2 linked regions of the Notamacropus eugenii genome follow. The protein of the gene in region 1 purifies or fractionates together with the protein of each later gene. This does not show direct contact. Links are inferred from orthologs where the notes say so. Each region holds a gene or a part of one and is shown in the gene's direction. Other genes may lie near its edges.

Region 1 (9,615 bases):
GCTCTATGAGCAAAGCAGAATTGAGAATATGAGTACAAAGTAAATGTAGGTTGCGCAAATTTGGAGTATCCACCATAAATATTCATACAGACTACCTGTGCCCAGTCTGTGGTAGAGCATATCGAGCTCATATTGGTGTGATCAGCCATAGCTGGTCACACTGAAACTTCACTTTATCATGGTGATGTCATTTTGGTCCTCTTAGAAAATGAAGGATGACCACCAACCAAGGATAATTACATATGAATTCTGCTAACAACATAGAAAGATAATTAAATCCATGGAAACTGATGACAATACTAAAAGAAAGAATATATATGTGTGGTTGCAGTTTGTCCTTCCTTCTCGAAGAGGACCATGACTTCAAGGAGATGATGATATGACTTGCAATTGACTTTGATTTAAGTGAGGGAGGACTGTGCAAGGTCACCAGCCTCACTTTTTCCTCCAGAGCCATCTGGGTCCAGTGGCCAGATATTGATCAGGATGACTGGAGATGATCCAGGATGCAGTGGGAAAGATACAGACAGAGAGATAGAGAGAAATCCAGAAGAGAGCCTTGAGGAATACCCACAGTTAGGGGACACAGTATGGTTGATGAACCACCAAAGGAGATCGATAAGGAGTGATTAGACAGGTTGAAAGAGAGCCAGAATTGAGCGGTGACACAAAAGCCAGAGAATATTCAGGAGAAAATTGTGGTCAACGGTGCCAGCTGGAGTAAATAGATCTAGAAAGATGGGGACTCAAAAAAGCGCATAAAATTTAGTAATTAAGAGATCACTGGTAACTATAAGTTTGATTCCTTAATCAGTTATTACATTAAACAATATTTCTAATTATTTAGTACAATGTCTAGCCTATAGTAGGCTTTTAATAAATTATTATTTCCTGTTCCTTCCTAAGAACAAACAAGTAATAATAAAGTCACTGAATATACTATTTGTTAATGATTCAATTAATAATAGACATAGATACTTATTTCCAATATTTTATCTGTGAGAATGACTAGCCACTTCAAACTCTCACTGCTACTGCGGATGACTTGTCTTCTCTTTTGAGAATAGTCTCATACTATTTATCCAGCATAACAAATAACTGGCCAGAAAAATATTTGTTTTGAGACAGAAAAAATCCTCAAGATAAAGGTTATAAGTTTCATAAAGAATTTTCACTATTCTCAATCAATTTCTTAAGCACCTACTATGTGCCAGGCACTATGCTAAGAGCTGAGGATTCAAGAAGCAAAATATAGTTCCTGCTCTCAAGGAGTTTATAGTCTAATAGAAGAGACAACATGCCAACAAATATATACAAAACGAGTTATATAAAGAATGCATAGGAAATAATTAAGAGGATTTGGGAAAGACTTCCTGTAGAAGATGAGATTTTGGTTGGGATTTAAAGGAAGCCAGGCAGGATAGTAAGCAGAGTTGAAGAGGAAAAGTCTTCCAGGTTGGGGGTGGGGACTAGACTAGCCAGAGAAAACTTATTTTATTTGGTCTTTCTCTAGCTGTGACAGGAAAATAAGCTCTTCTGCATTGAATGGCAATGGTTACTCTTCAAGCTTTTCTGTGCTTAAAAGAGCCTGTAATAATTTCTCTAAAGAGACATTTGGAAACAGAGGTTACAAATACAGAACTAGACCAATGAGAGTTCAAAACAGGGAGAGAGGAAGACTCAGGTCCTGCCTCTGATAAATATTAGCAGTGTGATTGCAAGTAAGTCACTGCCTATATGTAAAAAATATTTGTAGCCACTCTTTTTGTGGTGCTAAAGAATTGGAAATTGAGGGATGTTTATCAATTGGGGAATGGCTGACCAAATTGTGGCATATGATTGTGATGGATTACTACTGTACTGTAAGAAATGATGAAGGGGGTGGTTTCAGAAAAAAAAAAAAAACATGGCAAGACTTATATGAACTGATGCAAATTGAAGTGAGAAGAATCAAGAGATCATTGTGCATCATAACAACAATGTTGTAGTAATGATCAAACTGTAAAAGACTTGGCTATTCTGATCGATACAATGGTCCATGATGATTCCAAAGGACTCATGATGAAAAAATGCTAGCCACCTCCAGAGAGAGAGAGAGAGAATGGGTGAATTCTGAGTGTAATTTAAAGTATAATTTTTTTTGCTCTTTTTTGTGATATGGCTAATGTGGAAATATGCTTTGCATAATTTTACATAGATAATTGATAGAACGTTGCTTGCCTTCTCAATGGGTGGGGATGAGGCAAGGAGGAGGGGGAGAATTTGGAACTCAAAATTTAAGAAGAGAAGTATGTTAAAAATAAATAATACACATTTTAAAAATTGAGAAGTAAATAAAAGTAAGTCACTATATCTCTTTGCTTCAAACAACTCCCTATGATAGGAGCTCCCAATTTTTATTGTTCCCCATATCTTTCACTTTTCAGTAAATTTTGCTATGCCACCAGTAAATATGAAAGGAAATAAATTCTAGATTTTTCATGCATACATGCATAAAAAATAAAATAGAGATTAACTTTTCTTCTCTAAGGGTACATAAAAAGTTTAGTAACTTTATTGACTAAATCACTTGGGAGTTTCTGGATTATCTCAATAGGATTATGGACATTTTGGACAATGGACTTGTACCCTTTGGGTTTAATGTAAACTACAATTTTAAAATCTCTGCTCCAAGATTTAAGTTAACGGTTGGTGAAAGAGTTAATAAGCTTTCCAAGGCATCTAATTTATTGTTAGGGAGTGAAATAGGTACTAGAAGAATGGAACTGAATAAGTGTCAACAATCTAACATAAAGGAGCAGGACAAAGATAAACTTGAAGTGCTTGCTCTCCCAGCATATTGTCAACCTAGTTAAAGAGATCTCAACTTTTCTATCTTCCTCCCTTTCTCATTAACACAAGTAACCAAGGGCTTCTTGGGATAGTGATGGTTTACATTTTCTTCTCTTGACAGAAGGGCCTTAATTTCTATTGCTTCCCCGCTAAGCTGTAACCCTATCTTCCACCTCTCAGTTCTATCATTTTTTAAAATTATCTTTCTAGGTGCTCAAGAACTAATAATATCTGGGATATTCTGGAATATTGGTTGCTGGTTATTGTAGCCTAATAAATGCTTGGAATATTGCTGTTTTTATATAATATAACAAGGCTTTGATTCAATTCAGCAATTTAATCAATTACTGACTAGGTTCAGGAACTATGCTAGATAATAAAGATGCAATGAAAAAAATTTCCCTGCCCTCTCAAGGCATCTGGAAATATCACTAAATATTCAATCAACACATGCTTATTAAATTTTTCTTTATGAATAAGTCTATTAAGTGCTGGGCACCTCCATCAATCAGTAAACATTTATTAAGTACCTACTGTGTAGCAGGCACTGTGCTAAACACTAGGGATACAAAAAAGAGGCAGGAGTTTACAGTATAATGGGGGAAACAACATGGAAACAATATATAAAAAGCATATATTTACATGTGTGTATATATATATACACACATGTATACATTATACATATAGATATACACAGAGAGAAAGACAGAGAGAGAGAGAGAGAGAGAGAGAGAGAGAGAGAGAGAGAGAGAGAGAGAGAGAGAGAATAGGAAATAACAGCAGGAAGGTTGAGGCTTGGCTGGGCAATATAATAAGGGGGCTAAAGATTCCAAGAGAGGAAGACAGTGTAGAGTTGAATTTGTTCCCCAAGGCATCAAGTTGGGGAAAAAAGTAAAGAGTGGCTAGTGCAGAGGAGATGGCCTGGTGGAGTATGTAATGGTCAGTGACAGGAAGTTACAGTGCAGTTTGAGCAAGGTTTTGAAAGCGAAAACAGAGAGAGAAGTGAAAAACCAAAAAGGCTATGACTGAATAAGGGGATTTTAGAATTCTTGAACACAAAGGTGGTACATTTGTGAGTGATGGTAAGACCAGGTGTATGATCATCTTTGTGTGTGACTGTGGTTGAGTGTAGCAATAGCTCATCCGGGAGGTGAGTGTGTTCAAGAACCGAGTAGTAGTTGTTTGTTCTGGAGGTGAGGCCATGCCATGCAAGTGAATTGGATTTAAGTGAGGCAAGGCTGTGCAAAGTCAGCAGCCTCACTTTCTCCTCTGGAGCCATATGGGTCCTGACTGGAGATGGCCCTGGGTGCATATGGATTCTTTCAAATACCCGATAACTCACTCCTGCAGTCCTGGAAGTATTTGTCCCAGGGTATTTGAAAAAGAATCCATGTATATGCTGAAGTCCCTTAGCCTGAGGGCAGGAATTGGGAAAGACCTCAAACTTGGTCCCCTCCATTCAGTCAGTTCCAGGATCTAATGAGAGGCAGAATCATCTAGCATAGGCGCCTCATATCTGCCTCAAAGTAGAATGAAATATAGCTTTAAAAGGTCAGTGGGCATGTATGAAGTTTGTGCCGCCAGATGGGATACAAAAAAGCAGTCATCTCTTATTATCAATCATTTATTAGTCACCTCTACGTGCCAGTCATTGTGCTGGGTGCTGGAGGTGAGTACAAACGACGAGGCTGGCACAGTGGTGAAACCTATGGCAAGGCAGTGCCCAGGCCTTCTCTGTCTCCACAACTGTCATTGTTGCCTGCGGCTCTGCGCAGAGACCTGCAAACGCTGCGGAAAGGGATGCTCACTCCCTTTTAAAGGGGAGGGTGGGCGGGAGAAGGGGCTATGAAACATTGTAGCGCAGCAGAGCACGCCCGAGAGCTAGCTCGGCCTCTCCTTGACAGCGCTTTGGGATAAGTCAAGGTTAATAGCCAGCAGGCCCGGCTTGGGACAGTCTCTCTGCAGTGCCGACTTGCAGTCTGAGCTCAGGGTCTCCAAGCTGCAGAGGCGACCGAGCGCGGAGGAGAGACCCCAGCGAGGGGTCAGTCCGGGCCCGCGTCCAGGACAAGCGCTCGAGTGCCAGTCTCCGCCCAATGCGCGTCTCCGGGTGGAGATCTGTGGGCTAAGGAGATGCCAGCCACGCCTCCACCCCTCGTTATCTGCCCGCCTCCCTCCTCCATCTTTCCTTTCCTTCCTCTGGGGCTCCCCTCTTCATTCTCTCCCGCCGAGCCTCTCATTGGCGCCAGAGCCCGGGTGACGCTACAGCTGGCGGGTGGGCCAGCCCCGGGCTGGGGTGTAAGTGTGTTAGTGTGGGGAGAGAGGAGGGCGCGGGGAGCTGGGCGGGTGGAGTCTGCGCGTGTCTGATGAAACCCAGCCCCTGGATTTCGTCCGACCTCCGATTTCATTCAGTGAAGCGCGGGGGCCTGGGAGGCGGTGCCTGGAGCTCGGAGGTGTAAAGAGAGGGAGCTGGGCAGCTGAGAGTAGACGGGGAAACTGCCGCGCGTGCCACGCAGCTCCGCTCCGCAGCAGAGGCAGCCACAGCGCGCACTGCCCGCCAGCATCCTCCTCGGGACACCCGCCCCGGTCACGCATCTTCCTCCTGGGGACCCCGTGACAGGCCACAGTGGCAACACCTCCATCCATCCATCCCTCCCAGGCTCTCCCCGCCCCGGCACGCCGCATCCCGCCTCCACCCAGGCGGGCTCCCTTGACAGCCGCCCTGCGCGGTGAGTGACCAGTGCCTCCGCTCTCCTTTCGGGCTGTTCTCCAGTCTGGGGTCACCTTGGTTGGGTGCCCAGGCACTGGCGGGGCTAGGGGATGGAGAAGGGCGCATATGTTGGAGCAGGAAGGGCCCCCGCCCGCCGGCTGGGGCTTTTGCATCCTCCGGAGGGAGGACCTGGGCGGTGGGACGGCTTCGGGGCCAGAGAGGTTTGGGTCCAGCACCCCGGGGTACGGGAACCATGGGGATGCGCGCTGGCTCCACATGCACTCCGTGCGCCGCGGAGTCCATTTTGCTTCCTTAAAGGAGCAGCGTGGTGTATGATGCAATATGTATACTAAGGAAGCGTGGACAGCCGGGCGCTTCACGGTGCCCTCCCCCTTTCCTCCGCGGGGTGGGTCCCCGCGACCCCCGGGAGCCGGGATGCGTAGGGAGCACGGAGGGTGGGCACCGTCCCCGGGCTGAACAGGTTAAAGGCATCACCAGACTGGTGTGGCTCTCGGGAGGGACCTTCCCTTACATGGCGCTCTGCACGGCTCACCCCGCCACGAGGCCCAGGGATGTGTCACCCAGCGCTGCTGCCGTGGCTCCCATTTCCTCCCTTTATTCTCTCCTTCTCCAGCCACCCGGGGTTATCCCGAATCAGGTGGGCGGCCTTCCGGAGGAGCTCCATACGGAACCCAACCCCAGCTGTCTCTGCATCCGCGGCCACCACCTGCACCTGGTCTCTAAGCCAAGGTCGCCCTGTGCCCCTCTCCATTTTGTTCCGTCCAGGAAGATCTCCCTAGGTGGGCTCATGGACTCTCTAGTTGGACTCCCAAAGGCCTACGTAGCTCTAACTTTCACGGCTGGTGGCGGGTGGGTGAGTGGGTAACCTGCCCCAACTTTACGTATCGTTCTCATTTTCTTTTATGCCCGATAAAACTCCACACACTCAAGTTAGATTATGATTAAAAAACTTGCCTGTGCAAAGGACGGGCCACCGTAATTACGGCTTTTGTTTTACTACTTCTATGAACAGCTTTAGTCTCTTCCCCTTTTCAGTGGGTGTGGAAGGTAGGAGTTTAACTTTATTTGATTAGGACAAGGAGCATGTGCTTTCTGTAAAAGAGCTACGTTTACTCATGAACTCACACTGCCATGCTTTCAGAAGTAGTAAAAGCCGGTGACTTGGGTTTGGTTTCCATGCGTAGGTAGAGGAGAAGGTTGTCCAGTTTTACATTTAACTTTTTACGACTGAAATACGACCTACATTGTTTTCCTTTTCATAATGTTTTCATGTGGAACTTTAATTAGTCGTTCCATTTTATCTTCAAGCATCTAGCCCAGTGTATTTGCTTAAATAATTGCAACTGTGCTCTGTTTATTCCCATGACATTTTCAGTTGGTCTCAGTGGAAAACAGCGTCGTCTTTATGGAAACACCCTTTTGTCATTAAAACAAAAGAGCTTAAAGAGTTTTCATTCTAGACCTGAAACTTGGTAGACAAAAAGGGCCAAATAAAACAAAATATTTTGAAGTTGAACCTGATTTGTCACAAGGTTATATTATCCACTAAAAAAAAAATAAGATAACAATTTGCAGATTAATCGAGGAAATTGTAAATGGAAATGTAATAATGACGGCATGAAAAGACATAGGACAGGTTTTGTTAAATAATGGGTCGTAGTTTAATTACCTGAAAAGTGGATCGCAATGGTATTTATTAAATGCCTGTCAAGCATTTGGTGCCCAGCTCCACGGAAAACAAACTTGAAAGACAGGTCAGGTCTCTGACCCTAGGAGCTTGAATTCTAAGAGAGACATATGTTAACTATTTGTAAAGAGGTCTCTCTACCAGTGATTAGGGGAGTGATAGGAGTTACTATCCGTAGTGTCTTAAATCAAGTACTTTGAAAATTAGTTTTGCCTATTTTTGAGATTCCAGATTTTTAAATGGATCATTTCTATACCATTCAATCCATCAAATGTCCTAGAAAGAATATGGGTTTATTTAATCCAGTGAAGAGTTTGAAATAGGAAGTGTGCCTGCTTAGACAGGAAAGTGAATCTCTTATCCATGGGCACTTTCCCTCATTTTAATCTTTGGATTTTTGTGTTAACCTATAACATAATAGAAAATTAGGATGTTAGAGACAATGAGAAACTCACTCTAGTCTCAGGGTCACATTTAATATTTCATTTATATTAGAACTTGACATTTTTTCCAGACTTATTTCCTGTTTTTGAGGAAAGTCAGCCTTACCTAGTTTATATTCCTTGCAATTTAGCAGGCAGTTATTGAGGTCCTACTGTCTGTTGGACACAGTGTTAGGGGCTAGGGCACTTGGGGGACTGGGGGTGGAAATGAAGTGTTCATTCTAAGAGAGCTAGACTTGATTTTTTAAATGTAGGTCCTTTTCCTCCAAGGCTAGCACTGTTTATGCACATTCTTCTTGAAGTCCTGGCACTCACTCTTTGCTGTGTTCTCACACCTTTTACCCCCTCAGCTTCTTCCTTGGTCCCAGGGAATGCGTCATTTTTTTTGACATTCTATCTCTATTGCTTAGCACTGTGCTTGGCATATGGTAGGTGCTTATTAAATGCTTGTTGATTGATCCATCAATCAGGTAAGAGTACTTACAGCACAAAGACCTGAGTTCTAGTCAGAATTTTAACACTTGTCATTCCATTCATTCATCAAACATTTAAGAGTCTACTGTGTTTCATGATGGTGTCTAGTTGGTGCAGTAGATAGAGTTCTGGGCCTGGGGTCAGGAAGACTCATCTTCCTGAGTTCAAGTCTGACCTCAGACATGACCCTGGGAAAGTCCTGTAACCCTGCTTGCCTCAGTTTCCTTATCTGTAAAATGAGTCAGAGAAGGAAATGACAAACCACTGCAGTATCTTTGCCAGGAAAACGCCAAATGAGGTCACAAAGAGTAGGGTACAACTGAATGACTATGTTCTATGATGAATATTTATACCATGCACCATAGATAATAGGTTGAGTCAGAAGGAAACTTAGAGGCATTTACCCCTTAACTTTACAGATGAAAAAATCTGAGGCTCCACTATATGAAAGTCATATATATCATTTGCTGGAAAGTCACACAGAGAATAAATGCTTTTCTTGATTTTCTGACTAAGTTCAGCTTCTGCTCAATGTTGACTAAATGCCTATTGTGTGTTAGTTGTTGGGGTATAAAGACAAAAATGAAGTAGCTCCTACCTTCAGTGTACTTAAATTCTATTGAGGAAAACAACTTGTTGATATACGTACATACATACACACACACATATATATAGGATAAATTAATCCCCTGTATTACCAGTAGAGAACCCCCATCACCTCCTTTGTTACAACTATAGCTACCATTAGGAGATCGTGATCTTGGTGGAAGTAGCTTAGTAGGTTGGGTAAAGATGGCGCAGTCCTGGAAGAACCTTTGAGAAAGACTTTGGTTGAATATAAGACCATCTTAGTTATCAGCCTAACATTAATCAGTCACCTATCATAAGGCGGGAGGGCTGGAGCTGATAATCTCTTCCTGGGGCTTTCTCATGCATGGCTTCTGCATTCTCCTAGCTTTCCTGACCTCATCATGCTAGACCTGGGAGCTTCTCTCTTCTATGCCAGTCTGGGTATTTTCCCCTTCTCCTATGATTCCCCATAGGATTGATAGTAGTTATGTTTAAACCTTGTGCAATTCTCTTGCTCCTTGAATTGTTCGCTGGAGCCAGAGATTATGGTAAACTCAGTCCTCTATTTAGGACATGGCCAGAACTATGTCCCTTACCTGAGTATATGAATATGCTAAAATGGGCTCCACACACCTCTACTGATCTGAGAGGGTCGCCAGTCCTGAGTTCTGAAACGTAGCTTTTACCTATGTCTCCTGCATTTGGGATTTCAGAAATAATATTCCTTCCTTAAAGGCATTTATCTTTTTGGAGGGTTAAGCCCAGTGTCTGAGGTAAGTGTCTGAGGCTGGATTTGAACTTAGGCCTGCTAGTTCTATCCACTCTGCCACTAATGGCATCATATTTAAAATTATTTGACTTTCAGGTGGGGATAAAATTTG
Region 2 (9,614 bases), on another chromosome or scaffold:
GCATGATGGAATCCAAAGAATGGAAGAGCCTCTACTCTCAAAAAGCCTACATTCCACATAGGGGGAGAAATGTGGGGGTGGGGGTGAATGCGTATATGTGAATAAATACCTACAAAATAAACATAAGGTGGTTGGAGATGGAGGGGATAATAGCTGCATCTTGAAGGAAGAGAGGGCTCTAAAAATATATGAAAAAAGCTTATAGTACTTTCAACTATAACTTCAACTGAAAACATGAAATGTGTCTGTCTCTCTCCCCTTGGCATGCACAGTCTAGCTCTGGAAGCTCCAAGGTCAGGGACGGTGTTTTAGCCACATTTTGCAAGTTCCACAGAACCTGGCCCAGCACTTTGGGCAAAGCAGACATTTACTAAATGTTTCTTTTCTGATTGTTAATCTCTGCTGAGACCAGACGTAGGTCCTCAAAGAAAAATCTGTAATTACTTTTTACAGAATCATATTAAAATATAGAACAAAGGCTTTTCAATATATCATCAGGATATCTAAATTTGCTACATGTTGTGATTTACTTATTCTCCTGAACAAAATTTTAAATGATTTAAATGAATTTAACCTAATCCAAAATATGCACAAATCAATAAACATTTACTCTGTGACTAGTAATATGCCATGCACTGTGCAAGGGGCTGGGGCACATAAACATGATGTGTATGTCTACACATAAATAAATAGAAAGTAAACTGTTTTTACTTTGTGGGAATAGGCCCTACTAGTAGCTGAGGGGGTCAGTAAAGACCTCTTGCTCAAGGTGGTACTTGAGCAGAGCTTTGAAGAAAGCTGGAGATGCCAATCAGGGGGGGTGAGGGGACAGTATATTCCTAGCATGGAGCATTCAGCATTGCATCAATTTTGCCTGTGCCAAGACATGGAATGGAGAAAGCAGGAACAGCAAATAAACCAGTCTGGCTGAAGTCTGGCGGCTAGGTGGCGCCATGGTGCATAGCACTGGGACAGAAGTCAGGAAGACTCATCTTCCTGAGTTCAAATCTGGCCTCAGATGCTTACTAGCTATGGGACCCTGAGCAAGTCACTCAACCTTGTTTGCCTCAGTTTCCTCATCTGTTAAACGAGCTGAAGAACAAACCTGCAAACTACACCAGTATCTTTGTCAAGGTAACCCCAAATGGGGTCACAGAATCAGACATGACTGAAAAATGACTTAACAAAAGAGTGAGTGAGTGAAGGGAGGGCTAAAAATACAATGTCATCATTAAATCATGTAATCTTATTTAGTATTCAAAGGTATCTTTTAGCTTTGTAAAGTCAACTCTTTTGTAAAAGACTAGATTTACTGATTATTTCTAGAAAGAGACTAAAGTGTTTGAGGTATTTTTTTTCCTTAAAGATGTTAATGGTATAAACATTAATCCATATACATGACTAGAAACCTCAGTTAACCATTTCCCTGTATGCTTACATTTGTTTGGAAGGGAACAAAAAGAGCTCTGGATTATAATACAGACATCATGATTTCTAGAGTTTTGTTTTTACAGTTATAAGAACATCCATCCACAAATTGTCTGAGATTGAGATGATAGTTTGATTTGTATAATTCAAATTTGAGGAAAACAGCTCCCCTAGGTCACACTGAATACTTCCATTCCTGAAGATTAAGAACACTTAGAATGTGCTTTCAGAAAAGTAGCCACTTCATGGGGCACAAGAGTCCACTTTCTCAAATGTTAACTTTAAAGAACCATTAGTTTGGGATTTACGGCTCTTCACTTCTGCATCTAGGCATTCTACCTTAAAACACAGCACTCTGGGAACCAAAGTGAAGGAAGCAGCAATTTACTGTAATTTCAAGGACCCTAGAAAACCACAGAGACACTCTTACAAAACTACCACCAGAATACAGACTGGCCATTTATCCTTGTGACAACGCTGTCCAAATTTTAGCTAGTGACAAAGAGAAAGGGTGAACATTCTGGAGGTTAAGTAACTAATGTTGTTCTTCAGGGGAAAATTTAGCTCCAGACCAAGCTTAGGCAAACATTTTGATGTCCAGTTGGTTGTGAAACTGTATGTAATAATAATAGTAGTGTTTCACATTTATCTAGCACTTTGATGCTAGATATTTCCCAAACATATCTAGAGTAAAAAAAATGTATAGTCTTTAAATAATTTTGATTATTACCTAAAATTTCAGAGTACCAGTATTTTTAGATTTCAATTTTCAAAAAAGAAACCTCAAACTCAATTCTTGCTTTGGAGAGAATCACATTTAGCATTTATTGACATAAATTGATCTTATTTGTACCACTAAAGACTCTTAAAGACAGATTTTATTTAGTTGTAATTTTACGCCTATGACATAAATTAAGTAGGTCTTGAACAAAATGAGGTTGGACTATTATGAGTTATAACTTACTGAATTTCAAAGAATTCATAGGAAAGTGTATGGCCTTTTGGTATTAACGGAAAAGAAGGATGAAAGTTACAAGAAAAAAGGAGTGTTAAGGGTGAGTGATATCAGGATAAAATTTTAAGACTGGTTCACTTCAAATGTCATTTAACTCACTTTTTCAAAAGGTTCTATAATTACCTACTTCCTAGGATCATATTATTTAGTGCTGGAAGAAACCTTAAAGATAATCTTTAGTTGCCTTTAGTAGTCCAACTAATAACTGTCTAACCCGCAGATTTTATAGAGAAACGGAGACCCCACAAGATTAAATGCCTTGCCAAGTTCACATGTACTAGGTAGCCATGCTACAAAGAACTGCTGTCCCTTGATTCCCCAAGCAGAGCAGCTCTATTCCATCATGGTGCATATTATTCTACTACCACAAGATCAAAATACGGTAAGCAACTTCAGATTTTGTTCCTTTGGGGTGGCAGCATCATTTAAAGGGCAGGAAGGTACGAACGGAAGAAGAAGAAAGTTCAGCTTTCTCATACTGTGTAAACAGTAACCTGATGCTACCCAAAAACCTCTTAACTTGGATCACATCAAGGAACCTTCCTGGTATTAACTGCCTCAATACTGAGACATTTACTTCCCCCTCCTTTAAGAAACACTTCTTAAAACTGTGTTCTACTAAGCTCATGGCAGGCAGCAATGTTTCAATTGCATAGACAAATCTAAATTTTCTATATATGGGTATTTATTGGAATACAAAAAACAAAACAAAAAAACTTGAGGCATTTTGAGTACTGTGTGTATATGTGTACTCACTTTTCAATGTGGAAAAGTTAAGTGTGGCATAACAGAAAGAGAGTGAGACTTCTGTAATCTTACTGGGTTGTAAGAAACATGAACTCAGAGAAACTTGAGAAAAAGTGATGAAGAGTAAGGGTGAAGAACCAGGAGAAAATACAAAATGACTACCAGTATGTAGAGAAAAACAAGGGTGGACGATTTCTGAATTCAGATCGATGTCTGACCAACCATAACTTCAGAGGACTATCAATAACCCACGCCTCCTGCTTTAAAGCCGAAAGGTGGCAGACTACAAGTGGGATGTGAGGCATCCAGACAAGGCCATGTTGCTTTAGTATGCTTAAATGGACACTCAGTGTACAAGGGAGTGTTCTACTGGAGTAGGGGAGGAGTGGAGCAAGAGGCACTGGGAAGGAGGGGAGGTTAGAGAAAGAACAGCAATAAGTCACTCTGCAAAAAGTATTTTTGGAATCATTAAGTGCAAGACTAGGGTGAGCTGCTGATATTACTACTACAACTACACACTTTACATTTAGGTGCTTAATTTTTTAAGTCAAGCACTTATTCAAGCATTTGGCGTTTAAAATCAGAAATTTTAGCTGCAATCTATTCATTTTGAAGGGCAGGGCAAGTCCCAAGAAGAGAATGAAAAGGGAATTAGTTGAAATGAAGCCAAAGGGCAGAAGGAGCTGGTAGGATGAGATTAGGAAGGTTAGAAGAACTGAAAGATTTAGATCTCTTCTCTACCAAGGAGGCAAGCCAGCGTGGTTCTGGGTCTCAGAGAAGCTGCCTTAGAATTCTAGTGGGTCAGCCGCCCCTTGCCCGACTTCTGATACATTCTTTAATCTTACTGGGAATTGACGGGATGGATTGAATACAACACAACCAATGAGTAAGTGCTACAAAGTATCAGGGAGACAGAAAGTTTACACTATGAGAACTGTTTCCAACACACCAATGAGTAAGTGCTACTAAGTATCAGGGAGACAGAAAGTTTACACTATAAGAACTGTTTCCAACACACCAAACAAGCCAAAGCTTCCTCTCCTGTCGTTGCACATCTGGAACACCCTCCCAATCTCTGGCTTCTTCAAAGGACGGCTGAGGTGCCACCTCCCGATGCTTTTCCTGACTCCCTACGTTATGAGCACTTCACATTATTTTCTTTTTTGGTTTATATTTGTACATGCTTATATACCTTCCACAGACTAGAGGGTAAGGACCAGCACCCAGCATTTTATGGGGCACACAGCGGGCACTTAATGTTTATCGACTGTGACCCCTCAAACTCCAGCAGCTCCTTATTACTTTCACGATCAAATATGAAATACTCTATTTGGGGTTCAAAGCCCTTCATAACGAGCCCCCCCATTTTCCAGTCTTCCTGGACTGTGACCCCGTGACACGGCCCTTCTAGAGGTTCACCACACAAGACGCTCCACCTCCCGACCCCTGCCTGGAATGCCGTCACTTCATTTTCTTCAAGGTCCAACTAAAATCCTACCTTCTATATGAAGCGCTTTCCTGTTTCTAATTTACGCTTTCTAATTCTTACTTGTACGTATTTACCTATTGCTTCCCTGTTAGACCGTAAGCCCTCTGAAGGAAGACATAGCCCGCCCCCCCCCTTTTTCTTTAACCCCCAGCTTTTAGCACAGAGGGACTGGCACACAGTAGGCGATTCAAAGAGCTCAACGACGATAGCCAGACTGGGCCCGGGGAGGCGGGCAAGAACGAGGCCTGGCCTAGACTGAGGAGAGAGGCCAGGCGGGGCCGGATATCGCCACGTAGCCCTTCTCAGGCGCGGCTCCCAAGGCTCGCTCCGGGTCCCCAGGCCCTCGCTCCGGGCCCCCAGGCAGCTACGAAGGCACCCGCCACTCACCGCTTGCAGCACGGACGCCAGCAGCAGCCGCAGCCCGAACGCCGGAGCAAAACCCCGCTGCGCGCTCACCGCCATCGCCGCTATCGCCGCCGTTATGCTAGGGTCCTGACGTGGCCCGAAGGCCCCTCCGCTGGGGTGGCCGGCGTTGAGCCTGACGCTCAGTGTCGTTAGCTTTCAGCTCGCCGCGCACAGCGGCCCACTTCCGAGCCATCTGATGGGCTGCAAAACTCCCGGGGGCGGCCGCCTGCAATATCAAGGGGGTGCGAGAGTCTTTTTGATTTGCTCGCCTTCCCCTACGGTCAGGCACGTTATTGGGACCCCTACAAATCTATTCCTTTTGAGGGGCCCCTTAAACGCTCGTTCCTTCCCTAGCCAGCCAATCACCTCCTGCGCTAATTTTAATGGCAGCTGAGCAAACCAATCGTAATTTCGAGCGAAAGACCCCCTACAAACACGGTGGCAGAGGCGGGGTCCAATAGCGGCTGCGAGGACAGGTTGGGAAGGGAGGGCGGAGTGTTTGCTGAGGCCGGGAGGCGGGGCTGCTGAGTTGCGTGCGTGAGTGCGTATTGGGGAGAGGGCGGGCCCAAGCGGGGGGGCGGGGCCGAGGGCGGCGCAGTCGCAGCCTCGGTGCTGGTGCTGGAGCTGGGCTCCGGCAGGGAGGCAGGCAGTGGAGGAGGGAAGGGAGGCGGGTGAGCAGAGCGAGGGAGCGAGCCGGGAAGGTGCCGGGCTTGCTCCGGCTTGGGAGAAGCGAGAGCCCGAGGGCGGCGGAGCGCGGGGGCCTTGCGGTCGGCGGCGGCTGCCGAGGCTGAGGAGCCCCGGCGGGCGCAGGCGGCGTCGGCGTTGGTGGCCGGGGGCGGGGGCGGGTGGTGGGAGGGAGGGAAGGCAGGAAGGAGCTGCTGCTGCGGCGCTCGGCTCCCGCTCCGCCGGCCTCGGGGCTCCGGCTCGCTCCTGCCGGCGCCCCCCCCCCCCCCGGCCCCCGGGGCCTCGCTCCCCGCCCCCCGGGGCCTCGCTCCCCGCCCCCCCGCGGTATGTCGTGATCCCAGCGGCGGCGGCGGCGGCGGGTTTCATGGGGCTCCTCAGGATTATGATGCCGCCCAAGACGCAGCTGCTGGCGGTGGTGGCCTTCGCCGTGGCGATGCTCTTTCTGGAGAACCAGATACAGAAGCTGGAAGAGTCCCGCTCCAAGCTAGGTGAGGGGCGGGGGCGCTCCCGGGGCTGCGGCGGGGCATGCCTCTGTCCCCCCGGGGGCTGTCTCGGGGTCACTGGAGTCCTCCTGCGGGGAGCCGGGGCCGGAGGCTGGAGGGGCGGCAGCCGAGGCTCCGAGCCGGCGAAATGGACCCGAGTCGGTTTCACGGTGGGGCCCGGGGAGCTCGTGGGGAGGGGGCGCCCGAAGCGCCGCGGATCCGGGGCTCAGAGTCCTGAGACTTCGGGGGTGATGGAGGCGCGAGGGGCTTCCGAGCCGGACGGGAGCCGCGGCCAGCTCGGACAAACGTAGCGCTTTCTGCTGGATTTTGGAAGGGCAAGAGCAGACTATCCCCCCAAAGTGACTTACTCCGTTGGGTCGAGTTCCTAGAGAATGCGAGTGTGCATTGGTGTTGGGAGGGGATTAATAAGTTGAGAGATGAAGCCCCTACTACGAGCCGGGCGCTGCACTTCACTCTGGCAGTAGAAATACAAGCAGAAAGAAAGACAGCCCCTTAACCCTCGTGGAGCTTCCCTTCTGATGGATAAAATGGATGAAAGGGGACCCCAGAGACCCCCGAGCATCAGGAAGTCTGAAGAGAACGCAGGAAGTTTTAGTGGGCTGGGTGAAAAGAACAGAAAAGTGTTAGCTATTTGGGGAGATGCTTGGAGAAGAAACTCAATGTAGGCTTGTAGTTGAATTTTGGGCTGTATTTTGGTTTGTAAATTTACATTTCAAAACAATCACGAAGGTACCGATTTAGGTAGATGTAAACGTGTCTTAGGCTAACTACTTGAATTGAGTGCTCCTCCTTCCCCTTTATAAAAGGGTTTGGTAAATTGTACATCACTTGGAATAAAGAACAGAAAGGGAGCTGTTAAAATAAACCTTATGGAGATACATGTTTAGGAATGAGTAGGACTTGTGATTTCTTTGGTATGGGGAACTTTTTGGGTGTGGAAAATCCCTAGTCCTTTGGAGGGTCAGCACCTTGTTTGCAACCTGGGGTCTTAGAGAGCTGCCTGGAATACTGAGAGATGGGTTAAAAGTGGCGTTTGAATCCAAGGTCTTCCGAATTCTAGGTTTGCTTTTTATCCACCACACCAAGCTGCTTGTTAGGTAGGTTCAGGGTTGTTGTAGAGTACATTGAATGTTAGATTAGAATGAAAAACTTTCTCATTTGAATTTTAATAATTTCCCTCTCAGAATGTAAGTTTCTTCAAGACTGAAACAGTTTGTTTTTATATTTCCAGTACCACATGTAGTCATTTGCCAATAACAGGCCTTTGATATTGGAATTGAATTAAGCTGACACAGGAGTGTCATTGAAGTACATTCTGTAGAAAGCTACAGAAAGTTTTAAAGATCATTGTAATAAGGCACATTAAATACTAGTGTGTTTGAGTGACAAGAGGTGTATTTAGAAACTAGAAAAAGAACTGAAACCAATTTCTGTTTCTTCTCTGTACTTACATATGAAGGTAGTTGTGGGGACGCTGCCATCATTTAATTGGATGTTATCAGGATGTACAACGAAATGACTGTAAGAGAAAGTATTTTCTAAGTTTTGATTTAAATCAGTTTCTACCTCAACATCTCACATCCATCTTCTCTCCCCTCACATACAACTGCTCCCCAGTTCAAGCCCATCCCTCCTGCCTGGACGCCTGCCATTGCCCTTTCTTTGGTCTCCTTGCCTCAAGTTTCTCCCCATCTAATCCATCCTCCGCTTAGTTGCCAAGGTGACATACATGGCTCGTCTCAGTAAACGCCAGCAATTGCAATTCACTGTTACCTGTGGGTCAGATATAAACTCCTTTGACATTTCAAGTCCTTCACAGTCTGGTCCCACTTACCTTTCCATCAGTGTTACTCTTCATACCCACTTCTGTTCAGCCACACAGAGAGAAGTAAGGAGGGGGTATATTCCAAGAGGGAGGAACTGCAGAGACAGAGAGACAGGTGATGAAGTGTTGCATGTGAGGTGAGTAATTTAGCTTCTTTACCATCTAATGGCATTGCCCCATCTGCCTCAATGGACCTTTCCCTTCTTTTTTTTCCTGCACAGAACATGCCTTTTAGAATCCGTTTCCTTCAAGGCTTAGCTAAAACTGCCCCCCTTCCCCATCTTTTATCCACTAATGCCTAGATCCCCAAATTACCTTCTCTTTTGTACATACCCATGTTTGTGTATCTTCTCTACCCTCCATAGATCGAAGGCTTCTTGAGGGTAGCCACTGTTTCATCTTTCTCTTCCCTGGAACAGTGTCCATAGAAGGTGCTTAATAAATGCTTATTGATTGAATATCATTTTGCCTTTATAATTTTAGCATATCTATGGTTTTATTTTTGTAGTTTATAGGAGGCAACTTGCTTTAGTGGAGAGAGTTGGATTTGGAGGCATGACAGCGTTGAGTTCTAATCTGGTGTCAGACGCTATCTGTGACTCTTCAGACTAGACAGCCTCTCTCAGCCCAGGTTACCTCTTCTGTGTAATTGGGATCCTATCAGTATCTACTTCAGGTTCACTTTGAGGATCAAAGGACATACTGTATGCAGCATGTTTTACAGATCCTCAAAGAGCTTTGCAAGTGTAATCTATTACTATTATTATATTAATTTGCCTCATTTAGCTTTAATGAACAAAAAGTATTTGCAAACTTTACTTCTGCATAATTTAAATGAGATCCTTAGTATGCCACATGCAGACACTGCAAACTTGAAGCCCTCCAGAATGTTAATAAAACACAGTAGAAGAATGGTTACTCAACTTTTAATTTCCCTTTCTTGTCTGAAGAAGGTATTTAATAACACCTGAGTGTAGATTCTAGAGTGGTTTTAAAGGTGGAAAAGACTAACTATAGTTATAACAGACTTCCTGACTGCCAAACTATGTGACTTACTATTTATCTGTAAAGTGGGTATGTTTATTTTTCTTGGGTGTATGATACCATCTTGTTCAGGAAGTGTTATGAAGCATCATCTATGTGGGGATTATTTTTAGAAAAAAAGGCTATTCGTCAGTCCCACCATGAATAGCCAGAGATGACAACGAACACCCTTCAGAAGGGCTCTAGTAGTGGACATGAGGGCCTTCAGGGATAAACTGAGGCATGTAATAAGTAATTTCAGTGTGCCATGGACATAGCTCAGGAAATGCATGACCTTTCAGTTTGTGTGTTGCTTAAAATCTTCAAATGCTTTAAGCTCTATTAAATTATCATCCTTGAGGAAATCTGCAAATGTGGAACCTCTGGCCTTTTTCAAGCTGATATTAGTTAATCAGCCTATTAATAGATCTATTAAAATTTTGTTTTCTACAAGTTTTTTTTTTTAATTGTGTGGTACCAGTAGTTAATGTACCT

The links.
Region 2: the proteins of SLC7A1 (region 1) and HS2ST1 purify together in Homo sapiens (co-immunoprecipitation; 3 studies listed by BioGRID and IntAct, counting the BioPlex papers as one, with this or other methods). This does not show direct contact. The link is inferred for Notamacropus eugenii from reciprocal best matches to the Homo sapiens genes SLC7A1 and HS2ST1.

Annotation. Positions count from the first base shown.
Region 1 is NC_092876.1:197,884,315-197,893,929, reverse strand, and holds the start of SLC7A1 (high affinity cationic amino acid transporter 1), read left to right. Parts: upstream 1-5,416; 5' UTR 5,417-5,558; intron 5,559-6,173; 5' UTR 6,174-6,339; intron 6,340-9,615. UniProt on the Homo sapiens protein: High-affinity, low capacity permease involved in the transport of the cationic amino acids (arginine, lysine and ornithine) in non-hepatic tissues.
Region 2 is NC_092873.1:496,495,050-496,504,663, forward strand, and holds the start of HS2ST1 (heparan sulfate 2-O-sulfotransferase 1), read left to right. Parts: upstream 1-5,979; 5' UTR 5,980-6,132; coding exon 6,133-6,256; intron 6,257-9,614. UniProt on the Homo sapiens protein: Catalyzes the transfer of a sulfo group from 3'-phospho-5'-adenylyl sulfate (PAPS) to the 2-OH position of iduronic acid (IdoA) or glucuronic acid (GlcA) within the heparan sulfate (HS) chain and participates in HS biosynthesis.